Linked DNA regions of Bombyx mori. Each later gene encodes a partner of the first gene's protein in a complex. Links are inferred from orthologs where the notes say so. Each region holds a gene or a part of one and is shown on either strand. Other genes may lie near its edges.

The links. The genes of interacting proteins can lie anywhere in the genome.
Region 2: the proteins of kinase suppressor of Ras 2 (region 1) and uncharacterized protein LOC101745226 are in contact, whole or in part, in a cryo-EM structure (PDB 8BW9), measured with the Drosophila melanogaster proteins. The link is inferred for Bombyx mori from reciprocal best matches to the Drosophila melanogaster genes ksr and cnk. Residues at the interface, in NP_001287177.1 of Drosophila melanogaster: Arg900, Gly901, Met902, Lys903, Gln904, Ser905, Leu906, Ala907, Gln910, Ser911, Gly912, Arg913, Lys916, Asp917, Met920, Tyr925, Lys945; in NP_001286524.1 of Drosophila melanogaster: Lys79, Asn80, Asn82, Gln84, Leu88, Glu183, Asn187, Ile190, Gln191, Ile193, Ser194, Asp195, Pro196, Val198, Leu199, Gln200, Pro201, His288, Thr289, Met291.
Region 3: the proteins of kinase suppressor of Ras 2 (region 1) and Mek are in contact, whole or in part, in a cryo-EM structure (PDB 8BW9), measured with the Drosophila melanogaster proteins. The link is inferred for Bombyx mori from reciprocal best matches to the Drosophila melanogaster genes ksr and Dsor1. Residues at the interface, in NP_001287177.1 of Drosophila melanogaster: Gln767, Tyr828, Asp830, Met831, Gly832, Leu833, Gly834, Val835, His837, Arg849, Ala850, Leu851, Gln852, Asp888, Gln889, Pro890, Ala891, Glu892, Ser893, Ile895, Trp896, Gln897, Gly899, Arg900; in NP_511098.1 of Drosophila melanogaster: Gly98, Gly99, Lys123, Asp236, Met238, Ala239, Asn240, Ser241, Phe242, Val243, Gly244, Thr245, Ser247, Met249, Arg253, Leu254, Gln255, Gly256, Ala310, Met311, Ala312, Ile313, Phe314, Leu317, Asp318, Val321.

What each region holds. Positions count from the first base shown.
Region 1 is NC_085114.1:14,723,509-14,727,008, reverse strand, and holds part of kinase suppressor of Ras 2, read left to right. Parts: intron 1-555; coding exon 556-732; intron 733-1,548; coding exon 1,549-1,734; intron 1,735-2,374; coding exon 2,375-2,508; intron 2,509-3,467; coding exon 3,468-3,500.
Region 2 is NC_085128.1:233,122-237,245, reverse strand, and holds the start of uncharacterized protein LOC101745226, read right to left. Parts: upstream 2,801-4,124; 5' UTR 2,646-2,800; coding exon 2,588-2,645; intron 2,332-2,587; coding exon 2,168-2,331; intron 1-2,167.
Region 3 is NC_085127.1:6,274,001-6,278,248, forward strand, and holds the start of Mek (MAP kinse-ERK kinase), read right to left. Parts: upstream 2,801-4,248; 5' UTR 2,585-2,800; intron 2,058-2,584; 5' UTR 2,022-2,057; coding exon 1,903-2,021; intron 1,430-1,902; coding exon of another isoform or gene 1,427-1,429; coding exon 1,257-1,426; intron 998-1,256; coding exon 722-997; intron 29-721; coding exon 1-28. UniProt on the Drosophila melanogaster protein: Required downstream of Raf in the sevenless (sev), torso (tor), and Drosophila EGF receptor homolog (DER) signal transduction pathways.

The DNA.
Region 1 (3,500 bases):
TTACCTCGATACGTGAGCAAATCATGTTATTAGGTTTTCTTGATGATGGTGAATGTATCGTAAAAATATTCATTCGCGTGAATAAGCACAGGTCAATTAAAAAAGAAGCTACCAATGATATTAACTTTTTAATTGACTTCCAATGAAGGCTTTCTTCGTTATGTACGTTTTGTATTCGGGATCATCTTTTAATTTATTTATTTGTTGCCTATTCCGAATATGCAACTTAGGGACTTTGAAAATGTTGAATTTTCTGTGTTACCAGATACACGGACTTGTCTACAAAACGTACCGAGAACAGAAGTCTGATCCAATAGTGCAGTAGACATTGTCACTAACTTTTTTGTTTTTTTTTATTGCCCTTGTAGGCAGACGAGCATACGGCCCACCTGATGGTGAGTGGTTACCGTCGCCCATGGACTTCAGCAATGGCAGAGCCAAGCCGCTGCCGCTGCCTATCTCTCAATTAGCCGATTGTTAATCATCAAAAACGTTTAAACTCTACCTGAACAGACGATCAGGCATTATTAAAATTAACATTTTTTTTTTCTACAGTTGTCGATGAAGGAATGGGACATACCTTATGATGACGTGAAGATATTCGAGGTGATAGGGGCGGGCAGGTTCGGCACCGTCTGCCGGGGCAGCTGGCACGGAGCCGTCGCCGTGAAGCTGCTGCACGTGCTGCCGCTCAGCGACGACGGTTCGCTGCTCGACACCTTCAAGCATGAGGTATCCCCCCTTACGAACCGGAGAAAACCCTTCAAGTACACATGAAACACATCGCGCCTTTAGAATAATAGAGATCCAACACAGAAAATGTATTTTTTTTCGGAAACATCAAATAAAGTTTTCAAACCGAAAAGACGGAGTGAAAGAGACCGATGGATAAGTTTGTCTCTTTTTATGCTACTTTTGATCACAGACATCTACAACGTAAATGCGCCACCCACCTTGAGATACAAGTTCTAAGGTCTCAGTATAGTTACAGCGGCTGCCCCACCCTTCAAACCGAAACGCATTACTGCCTCACGGCAGAAATAGGCGGTGGAGGTACCTACCCGTGCGGACTCACAAGAGGTCCTACCACCAGTAATTACGCAAATTATAATTTTGTTGAGTTTTGTTGTAACGTGTGGACGTTGTCGCCGCTCGTTGGTGTTAAGTGGATCGCAGTCCATAGAGGCTGCTATTTTGCGAATATCAGTGTGATCAATAAATTTTTTTATAGATTCTTGGTACAAAATTGAATGGGAATCGAAAAATTTGGCAATTGATTTGAACAAGTTACAGACGGACTTGGTATTGTGGGAGTGAGGAAAGTGAAGCTATTGGAATTAGTTAATAATAAAATGCCTTAAACAAAGATAAAACAATATGTTTTTGGAACTTGAAATGTAAGGCGTACAAAACGCCGAGGTCGATGACCGCCCACTATACGTCCCGTAGGCATCGTACCCATAAGGACAATTTTTTTAACTCTGATTTAGTGTCACGCTTCTATTTTGTGTAGTAAATTAAAATTTACTCATCATTAATGTCGATTAGGTTTCAATATTCCGGAAGACCCGTCACGAGAACCTGGTCCTGTTTATGGGGGCCTGCATGAAGCCGCCCCGGCTCGCGATAGTGACATCATTGTGCAAGGGCATGACGCTCTACACGCACATCCACCTGCGGAAAGACAAGTTCACCGCCAACAAGAGCGTGCTCGTGGCGCAGCAGATCTCACAGGTGAGATTGTTGGTTATGAGTCGGCGATACTTTTTTTTTATTTTTTTTTATTGCCTTTGTAGGCAGGGGGGAATAGGGACTAGGGGTAGGTTTTTACTGGTGGTAGGACCTCTTGTGAGGTCAAACGAGTAGGTACCACCACCCCGTCTATATCTGCCGTGAAGCAGTAATGCGTTTCGGCTTGAAGGGCGGAGCAGCCGTTGTAACTACACTACCTTAGAACTTACATCTCAAGGTGGGTGGTGCATTTACGTTGTAGATGTCTATGAGCTTCAGTAACCACCTAACACCAGGTGGGTTGTGAGCTCGTCCACCAATATAAGCAAAAAAAAAATTTGAAGGGTTCTCTCACCGTGGCCGTTCGTCATAACCCACTCAGAGTCGCTGGCGACGTTTACCTTGCGATATCTATGGGCTCTGGTAATCAGCTAACACACCAGGCTGGCCGTGAACTGTGTTCATCACAAGTATGGTATAAGGAGTATCGCATAGTGAATAGCATCTGATGTTACAGCATTAAGAAGTTTTTGCGTAAAAGAGTACCAGAAATCCTTGATTCCTCAAAAGATTCCGCGTTTAAAATACGAACCAGGGTATCATTCAGAATGTTCTCGACGAAAAATTGGTTTGTTTTTCACAGGGTATGGGCTACCTACACGCCCGAGGCATCATCCACAAGGACCTGAAGACGAAGAACATATTCTTAGAGAGCGGGAAGGTGGTCATCACGGATTTTGGTCTCTTCAGCGTCACTAAATTGTGCTTCGGGAATAAGTTAGTAGAGTTCAATCAAGACTTTTTGACGTGTCAAGCTATGTTAATTGTTTTAGTTTTAAGAATATAGTCTCTCTTATGAATAAACGTGTACTGGCTGTAGTTCATTAAGCTCTCACTGTATGTGAAAGAGCGCTGTTTGTAGAGAAACATAATCACTGGATATGACATCCAAATGACCATTGAACTCTCAGGAGTTTTCTGTCATTGTACTGAGAGATTAAAATCCACTACCTCATCGAATACCTGTACGGTGTGGTCTCATCTTACAGCATTTCCATTTTATTTCACTCTTCGTGCAACAGCAACGGGTTTTGGTTGGCTGTATGAGCTTCGATCCCTTTGCTTGTCCAATAAACCAATAAAAATACTAAAACAACGCAGCTCTACTCACTACGCATCTATTCGAAGTGGTGAATGGGACTTTTTGGCAGGAACGCGAGGAGTGAAGTTATGTGATTTGTTTTATTTTGTCTATTTAGTGTTTCTTCAGGTTTAAATGTGTAATAACGGTGGTTTATAAACTGTTTTATATCTGTGAAAGTGCACAAATGTGGGAAAATGAAACAAAGCCGCTGAACGTAACTTCTCGGGATCCTCCAAAAAGTCCACTGAAAAAGTCTCTGTAAATGACCACCATTTTACTGAGATTATATTTCATCCCATACTATCTGATCTCATTTCATTTCATGCCATGTTTCATATTAATCGACTTCATTTCATTTCATAATATCATTTTTACATAAAAAAAAAACATTAAAATTAAAATAAGACTTGACCTAAAGGTCTTAGTTACGAGGTCATAAAATCCCTTAAAAAAAAAAGAAGTGGTGAATAGACTTGTATCCGCAAGTCAGTGCGGCGCAGTGCGTTGTACAATGGGTGCTCCGGCCATTTAGAATCGGGGCGCTTAAACTGTCCCGCCCCAGGACGGACGACTGATGCGTGTTGTTCCGCAGCGCCCGCGGCGACAGTCTCGGCATCCCGTCGGG
Region 2 (4,124 bases), on another chromosome or scaffold:
GACATAAAAAAGTGACATAAAAACAAAAATTTAATGCAATGCTTAACTAATAAATAATGTATCTGTTGAATAATACAAGGTATTATTTCCCACTTGCAAGAACCTCTTCTCGGGTAAAGGCCTCCTCCAAGGATAGCCAATCTTCTCTGGATTGTATAATTTTACGTCTTGTTTCCGATAGTCCTATAATGAATTCTTTCAATATTTCGTTTAATTCTATTAAACGTTCATGTGATAGGTGATCTGACATTGTATTTCAATATGTAGAATTTCTTTTGAAGGTTTTTTTTTTTTTTGAAGGTTTTTTTTTTTTGAAGGTTTTTTTGTTTTTGATTCCTTGGAGGGTTTTGGTCATAATCTTCCACGGGGACCAACCGTATTGGAAGATGTTTTTCTTGTGTATTTTGCTTGTTTTTCTTGTGGGAGGGGGGTGGTAGTGTCTATATATTCCTGTTTTGATTGTTCTGCTAAATCAGTGCGTTGTTAGTATTTTTTAGTGCGGAAGTTGAGCATGCCCGGTTTCAAGACACCCTCCGATAGACTAGATGATCTTTGTATCGGAGCTTGTGTTTTGTTCTTCTTGCTTGCTTGAGTCTTTTTCTCATCTTGAGGGCGGTAATGAAAACAGGGGGTTTCGGGTGAAGCAGAAAGCATTCTTTTATTAGTATTTTTTGTATTCTTGTTCTTATTTATTACTATCATTTTATCATACTTGATGAACGCAGTGTTGCCCTTCTCTCGCTCTTCCTGTACCTGTTTTTTGTAGTTCCTTCCTTTTTTTCCAAAATGTTTTGTGGATAATCCTCTTTTAAATAGTATGGAGTATCATTCAGTTTTCCTCTGTTTTTGTATATATCTATTTTTAAACCCAAAGTTACAAATGTCACAATAATTGATCGAGGCTTTTCTCCTTTCTTACCTATTCTCTTAGCCTCCTGAATGTCTGTAGAATTCAGTTTAATAGATAAGTACGTTCTATGAAACTGGCTAAGTTTCTTTCCAAGTTTGAATATGAAATTTCCGTTTCTTCCACCCCAAAGAAGACAACATTCCTTAGTCTTGCTTGTTTTTCTAAAACATACAGTCTTTTTCCTTGATTTTGCACTTCAGCTTTGAGATTATCGAATTTTTCTTCCCAGTAATTAAACTTTTCGTCCAGTATTTTATTTATGTTTTGAGTCACTTGTTCTGTCACTTTCTCGCCGCTTTTTGTTCATCCAGTTCTTTTTGGATGGTTCTGAGTGCAATTAAAATTTCTTCCATTGTTAGATAGCGTAACGATAGAACGAGTAACGAGTTGTTTTGATACTGGTGGCACCCTCTCTTGTCTTAGGTGTATCTATTTCAACGGACGTTCAATGCGCGGCCAATAGTAGTCGGGATAATGCGAAGACTGGGTTGTGACGAAGTTTGATAGCATCGGCAGATGACGTTAATTGACGTAGCGATTTATGGGTATTATAATTATTAAAGGGACTTAGATTATTACCATTTTTCGGAAACTCTTTCCAAACCCACTAACTTATGCTTGTTCGACACTCTGTGCTATCCGTTCACTCCTCGTAGATTTTTTCCCTCGATCAGATCACAAAATGATACTCAACGATGTTCTTCTCACTAGAGTAATTTTTACAATTATTCATTAAATCCTTAAACAGTTGGCTGGTATTCACTGTTTAGCTTGCAGAGTACAGGCAATTACGCGTACTTAAACTCACTTTTTAAGGAATGGCACTATTTTAATATTTTTAAATCACGATAAAATACAGAGCCGATGTGTATTGTGGCAAACTCATTTGAATTTTGATTTATTGCCAGCCATACTAAAATTGTTTCAAATGATCAGTATTGGAAAACAGTAACTTTATAAGTAAAGCCCTAATATTAACAAACTTCCAAAGCTACAATTAGCAAATATTTAATCTTCTTACATGATATTGAGCTAAAATAATGTACTTCTTCCACCTAACAAATGTTGACTAATGTCACTATCAGTTGTTAACAGATCCTCTCATATTCTTGCTATGCTCAGTTTATTGTGAGATTTATAAACAATTAAAATATAAAAAATTAGCATATTACGTATCGACGGGTACTTTTTCACTGTTTTAGCCAAGTGTGTTAAAAATAAAGGTTTTCATCTGTAATTCTATCTAATAGAACTTACAAAGTTCCTAAGATGTTCCACAGCTTCTAGCAAGAGCTCTTGGTGTCCGATGATATGCATGCCCAAGTACTCTAAGTCATCACATCTCAACATCAATAATCTAGTACCATTTAAGCCTTTGGCTCGCATTTGTGGGACATACTGGGCAACAGATGCGTCCAGCCCTGAAATGATAATGTAAACATAGAACACAGCTTCCAATAAGTAATGATTTACAAATCACAGTAGTGATATCTCATTATTACATTACATGTGCAATAAAATTCAGAATAAGGTAGTCTCAGAGAACTGAATAATATGAGTCATATTTAAAAAAAAACAGACTTTATACGGCTTATATATAGTGGTTTTATTTGTCTAACCAGAGCCGGCAGTCTAGCCTGACTCACCGTCTGTACAAAACATGAAACGGACACTCACCGGACATCCATTCAGCTACTTGGTCCGCAGTCCATTCAGCAATATTTAATCCAGCCATTGTAATAAGCACTGCGCATATTTCAACTGATTGAATATATTTTTTATTTTATTATGAAACAGAAAAAGTAAATATGTAGCACTATCGCGCATTTCATTTATTGTTCGAAAAAACAAGCTTTGATTACGTCGTAGGGATGTTGATCTGAGATCGACCATTCGAAGAATTAAAGCTTTAACCAAAAATATCGATTTTTTTAAATCGATCTTAACTAATAAATCGTTCTCAGTTAGCAGGAAATTGTGATTCGATTTGTTTTGCTGCAGCTAGAACGCAATCAAACATGATTATAAATTATTTTTTGGGTTCAATAACTTAGGTGTAAAATATTTGCTCTTGTAGATGTTACGTTTTTTTAGCATTAAGCGAGCAATAATGGTTAATTTTTACTTTTTTAAATCTGTGAAATTAAATAAGTATGGGAAAATGATAATAAGTCGCTGGTCGTGGATTCTTGGGCTCGTCCTGTGGGCTTATCCCACATCTCATGCACACACATTTACTCTTCACAATATAAAACTTATATAATATATTTATTTCATATAATTATTAATACACACAGAGTATACATTCACACATATAACATATCTATTAATATATTATTACTACATTACATATACAACAGACATACACACACGACAATTTATCGTACCACGTCAATCAGCTGGTCGCCCGTTCGTTTGCGCTGTGGACACGCGCGCTTGAACGGAATGTCGCGGGTAGCTTGAAAATATATTCTTGCGCAGCTGATCGCGGCTAGCCACGCCCCCAGTCGAAACTTACCTCGAGACTAAACGCACGTCGCTTTTGCTAATTATATACTGTTGTATTGTTTTCGAAGCTTTTGCCTCACTTGTGATAACGCGCTTTCTTTGTGTTTATCGTAATAGTATTGTCGTAAAGTGTAAAGTGTCTTCTACTTATAAACTGAATCTCTTCTGTGCTCGTAACCTTCAATTCAATAATATTTATATCAATCAATAATTATAATAATATAGACTGTGTTGTATTTTCGTGTGGACTCAGTGTTAGTTGAATAAACATTTCATTAGTGTGCAAGGTGTCGTATTTAATTTATTAACCGAACACCGTCGACGGCTTCTCAGGTACCTACTTACCTTTACCTCAATTACGCTACAAGTCCGGACGACCCGTACATACTCAAACCACATCTCCAACATACGGCAGCCCACAATTCGAGTCTATAGTCCAAAAAGTCCACTGATGTCTTAGTAAGCTCCCACTACTTTATTGAGGTCTAAATCATTATATCACGTTTCATTTACTTTCATCCTAATTGATACCAAATTAAGATAAGACGAAGACGAAGAAGCTTCATTTCATTTCATCCTATCGTTTTGCCGTTATATGATTATTAATACGTATGTACTTACTAACTGAAGATTTCTAACCATATCACCAGACCAATGAGACCATTTTGTTCTCAAAAAGAAAAACTTCTCACATACCTACACAACT
Region 3 (4,248 bases), on another chromosome or scaffold:
CCTTTGAGAACTGCTGATGTGATTGTTCCTAAGAGTTCACAATATTATTCTAGGGTTATTCTAATTCTTCTATTAAGGTCTATTCTAATCATTGGTTATAGAAATATACAAAAGTTAGTATATATTAATGTGCAAGCTGATCACTGAAGCATTCATATCGACACTTGAAAGGCAAACGTGACTAAGCGACAATGCGTTAACTTTACAGTAGACTAATTTAAAATTGAAATACCTGAAAAAAATTCTATTTTAACGAGTCTAGCTGTAGGATTGAAATGATTTTAATAGACCTAGAAATATATTTTTTTTGCGCATCGAATATGGTATTTGCGTATCATTTATGAACAAATCAGTTATTGTCACTTAGTCACGTTTGCCTTTCAAGCGTCTATATGGTTCCAATAGAGCTCAAGCAAGCTGCTGTGTACCAACACTGCTGATTTTTTTTAGAATACCCTCAACTAACAATAAGTGGTTTAAGATTAGCTTAAAGAAAAATCAACAGTTAATATATTCTTGTAGCATTCTAGCAGAATAGGTAATTTAGCAACATTAATAAACAGATATGTGGCACCAACCTTTCAACTACAACTAATGACATATGCAATGGAATATTGCAACAAAGATACAAAATAATACAAATAGATGATTTGTATTAACATGTAAGAATTTCTAGCGATTAATTATTAATTTGATGTAGCATAGATCAATTAAACGTTACCTAAAATAGATTCAGGAATTCTTCCCGCCTTCTTCAATATAAGATCCAATGACCCTCCATCCATGTATTCCATGCATATAGAGATCTCGCCATCACTATAGAATGCTCCATAGAAGCCAACTATATGTGCAAAGTTACATTCATGAAGTACTTTTAACTCTCTGATTATCTGCTTTTTTATAGCCGGTTTCACTTCGAGATGAATCAACTTGCGTGCCATGATGAGTCCGGTAGATTTGTGACGAACTTTCATTACAACTCCACCGTTGCCTTGGCCTGAAATTTTATAATAATTAAAAGTCACTAACAATGTATATAATTAGTAATTCTTTTATATAGTTTAGTTATTCTTATTTTTCAATTACATTTTTTACTTTTCCTGAAATTACCAATTATAGGGTAAGTTTAATTAAGCATTTAAAGGTCATCACCAAGTTAAACTTTGAAGTTGTCAGTAAAGTAATTTAAAAATAGCAGAAAATTAAAATACTCACTAGTACAAATATTATTTTAGATACTTTATAAAATCACTAACCTAATTCACCAAGCTTCTCAAAGTCATCATCACTCAGCTCTCCAATCTTCTCTTTCTGACAGAGGAATACTTCTATCCTGCGCCTCTGAGTATCATCCATCTCAATTTGCTCCAGTCTCTCAGTTAAAGCCTCTATACTTGTCTTTGACTTGCCTGCTAACCCTTGCCGCCTACAACAATTTTACAGTAACATAAAAAATTTCAATGTAAATATATATGCTTATATATATTATTAAGAAGCTAGAAATGCAGTATATACTTGGTGCCATTCCATTTATATGGAGGACCATAATATCATTGTTGTGATGTTCATTGGCTATATTTATCACTATATAAAGAGGTAGGCTATGAATTTGGTCACCTGCCTAAGCAATTAACAAATAAAAACTGATAAACTGTTTAACTCTTGTAATGTAAAGCATTAGAAATGTTGGAAATAATAAAATGAAAATAATAAATACGAAAATAAACCATAACAAGTGTTTTAATGATATCTGAGAATCAAAAATTTAACTTCTATAATTATAATAATGAATTTCTTAATAATTTTAGGTTTGATAATAATACTTTACTGCTGTAAAGATTATTAAAATCCCTATTTAATAACTTCAACCTCATAACGAAGTTTCATTATTTATATACTTACTCATTTGCAGTAGCAGATTTGAGCTGTGGTGTCATGTTAGATGGCGTGGCAGCTGGGTTTGTGTCTATTGACCCTGGTGGAAGGGTCAAATTCAGTTTGTTCTTTGACATCTTACTCATTTTGATTTTTTAGATCTTCCCTCATCCATGAAGTATCTACAACAGTTGATTTATTATTAAATAAGAGGGTTTAATTTTTTTGAGGTTTTTGGAAATTTAATGACAAGTTCTAAGTTTCTTGCCAGTGTAAGCCAGCTATGCCTGCGTCTTTAAGTTTTGTGAAGACATTTTTGTTTTGGTAAATAAGCTATTTCAGGTCCTAGGTTATCTCGAAAGTGTTAAAAAAGAAAAACACTATTTTCCCCTTAAATATAATCTACTGTCTATATACTGTAATGTATCTGTACTATTGGTTTCTGATAAAAAAAACAATGTTTTTGTTGTTTGGATTATTCATTTTCTTGAGTAAAATTTTTGGTTAGAGTGCCTAATTATGATACTAATGATTAATATTTAAAATCTATTAATACTTAAACAAAAAGGATGTAGCAAGGAGCCATTATGAATTGAATTCAATTATTATATTCAAACGAAGTTTTTCTTAATTTTAAATGGAAATTTCATCGAACACCGCAAAATTTATGAACAACAAAAAGCGTTGTAAGAAAAAACAAGATTCATACTCATCAAATACCCATTTGTCAAGGCATTATTTTATAACGTTCACACAGCAACGGTATTTCTTACAAAAAAATTGAAACACAAACAAAACTACTCAAAAAGAGTCCCAAACCCAGCAATTAATGTCGGAAAAAACCTTAACTGAAAAGAAAATGTAAATCGAATATTCGTCACTCGCAAATTTTTTGCCGTAAGTAGATATGACATTTTTTTGATTCGTCTTTTGGATAGGCAAAGAGAATGTGACCCAAACAGCTTAACTACTCTTTTGAAACAAAACCTGAAGTTATAAAAAAAAAATAGAACTAGATTCTATAATTTACCGAGAAACCAAGTTGAGCAAATTTTTTTTTCAGACTACTACTCGCAAAAAATTCAAATCTAACAAGTAATAATAAAAATTATCTAATCACCAAAATATTGATAATAATAATAAATGATTTATGTTCGGAATTCTCATATCTTTTTTTCTTTCTTCAACAAACAAAAATTTAAGTAAAGGTTAAGGTAGGTATGTACAAAACAATGAACAAGAATATTGATGTTATGTCATAAATCGAAATATAATCGATTTCTTCCAGGCAACTTTATAGGAAGTTAATTTATTTCATAAAAATGATAGTGGTTATCTACGTTGCAAGTAGTACTATAGAAATACGTTGTGATCTATATGAGCTCCAGTAACTCTCTGAGCTGCTTTGCTTGTTATGCTCTCCAAGTTCTGAGCTGCTTTGCTCGTTTATGCAATTAAAAAATCAAACATAAATCATGAGAAAAAATAAAAATTGAAAAATACTATTAGATTGGAATAAGAATATTAAAATTCATTGACATGCTGCTTTAAGATATTCTTCGTCTTTTATGTATGGCAATTGGCTTCTTGCGATACCATTGTTGCCAATGTCCAGTTTATAAAAATCTTCAATTATTAAATACCTACCTTCAATTATAAAATAAATAATTAGAAAATTTGAAATTTTCTGTTATATCAAAAACTAGCAGCCCGCTCCGGCTTCGCTCGGATCTTTAGCAAAAATTTCAACGACGTTGTTTTACTTTTTTATATAAAAGAACACTTATTGTGGCATAACTATAATAGTTAGACATATGCTGTCGCGACACTTTTTGTAAATAATAATATGTTCTACAAAGTCGTAGTACATTATTTTATTCTGTCATCAATAGTTTTCGCAGGGCACGCAATGTAGTATGGATCCCAAATTTTTTTCAAAAAAGATTATAGCCTATGTCACTCGGGAATAGTGTAGCTTCCAAACAGTGAAAGAATTTTTCAAATCGGTTCAGTAGTTTTGGAGCCTATTCGATACAAACAAACAAACAAACAAATCTTTCCTCTTTATAATATTAGTATAGAAGTATAGATAATGGAGCGAAATGAGATTTAATTTAGTTTATTCATTTGAGACTGTAATCAATTGAGATGAAATTAAATGAAACGAGATGAGATGAAATAAAGGATCAGTAAGATTATGGTTATTTACTGAGACTTCAGTGGACTTTTAAGAACTTATGAAGCCACGTCCAACGGCTGTTTAATTTTTCCAAATTTGTGTATTTTAAGATGCCAAACAGTAAATAATGTACTATTATTACACGTTTAAACCTGAAGAAACACTAAATTAACAAAACTATTCAGACAGCTTTG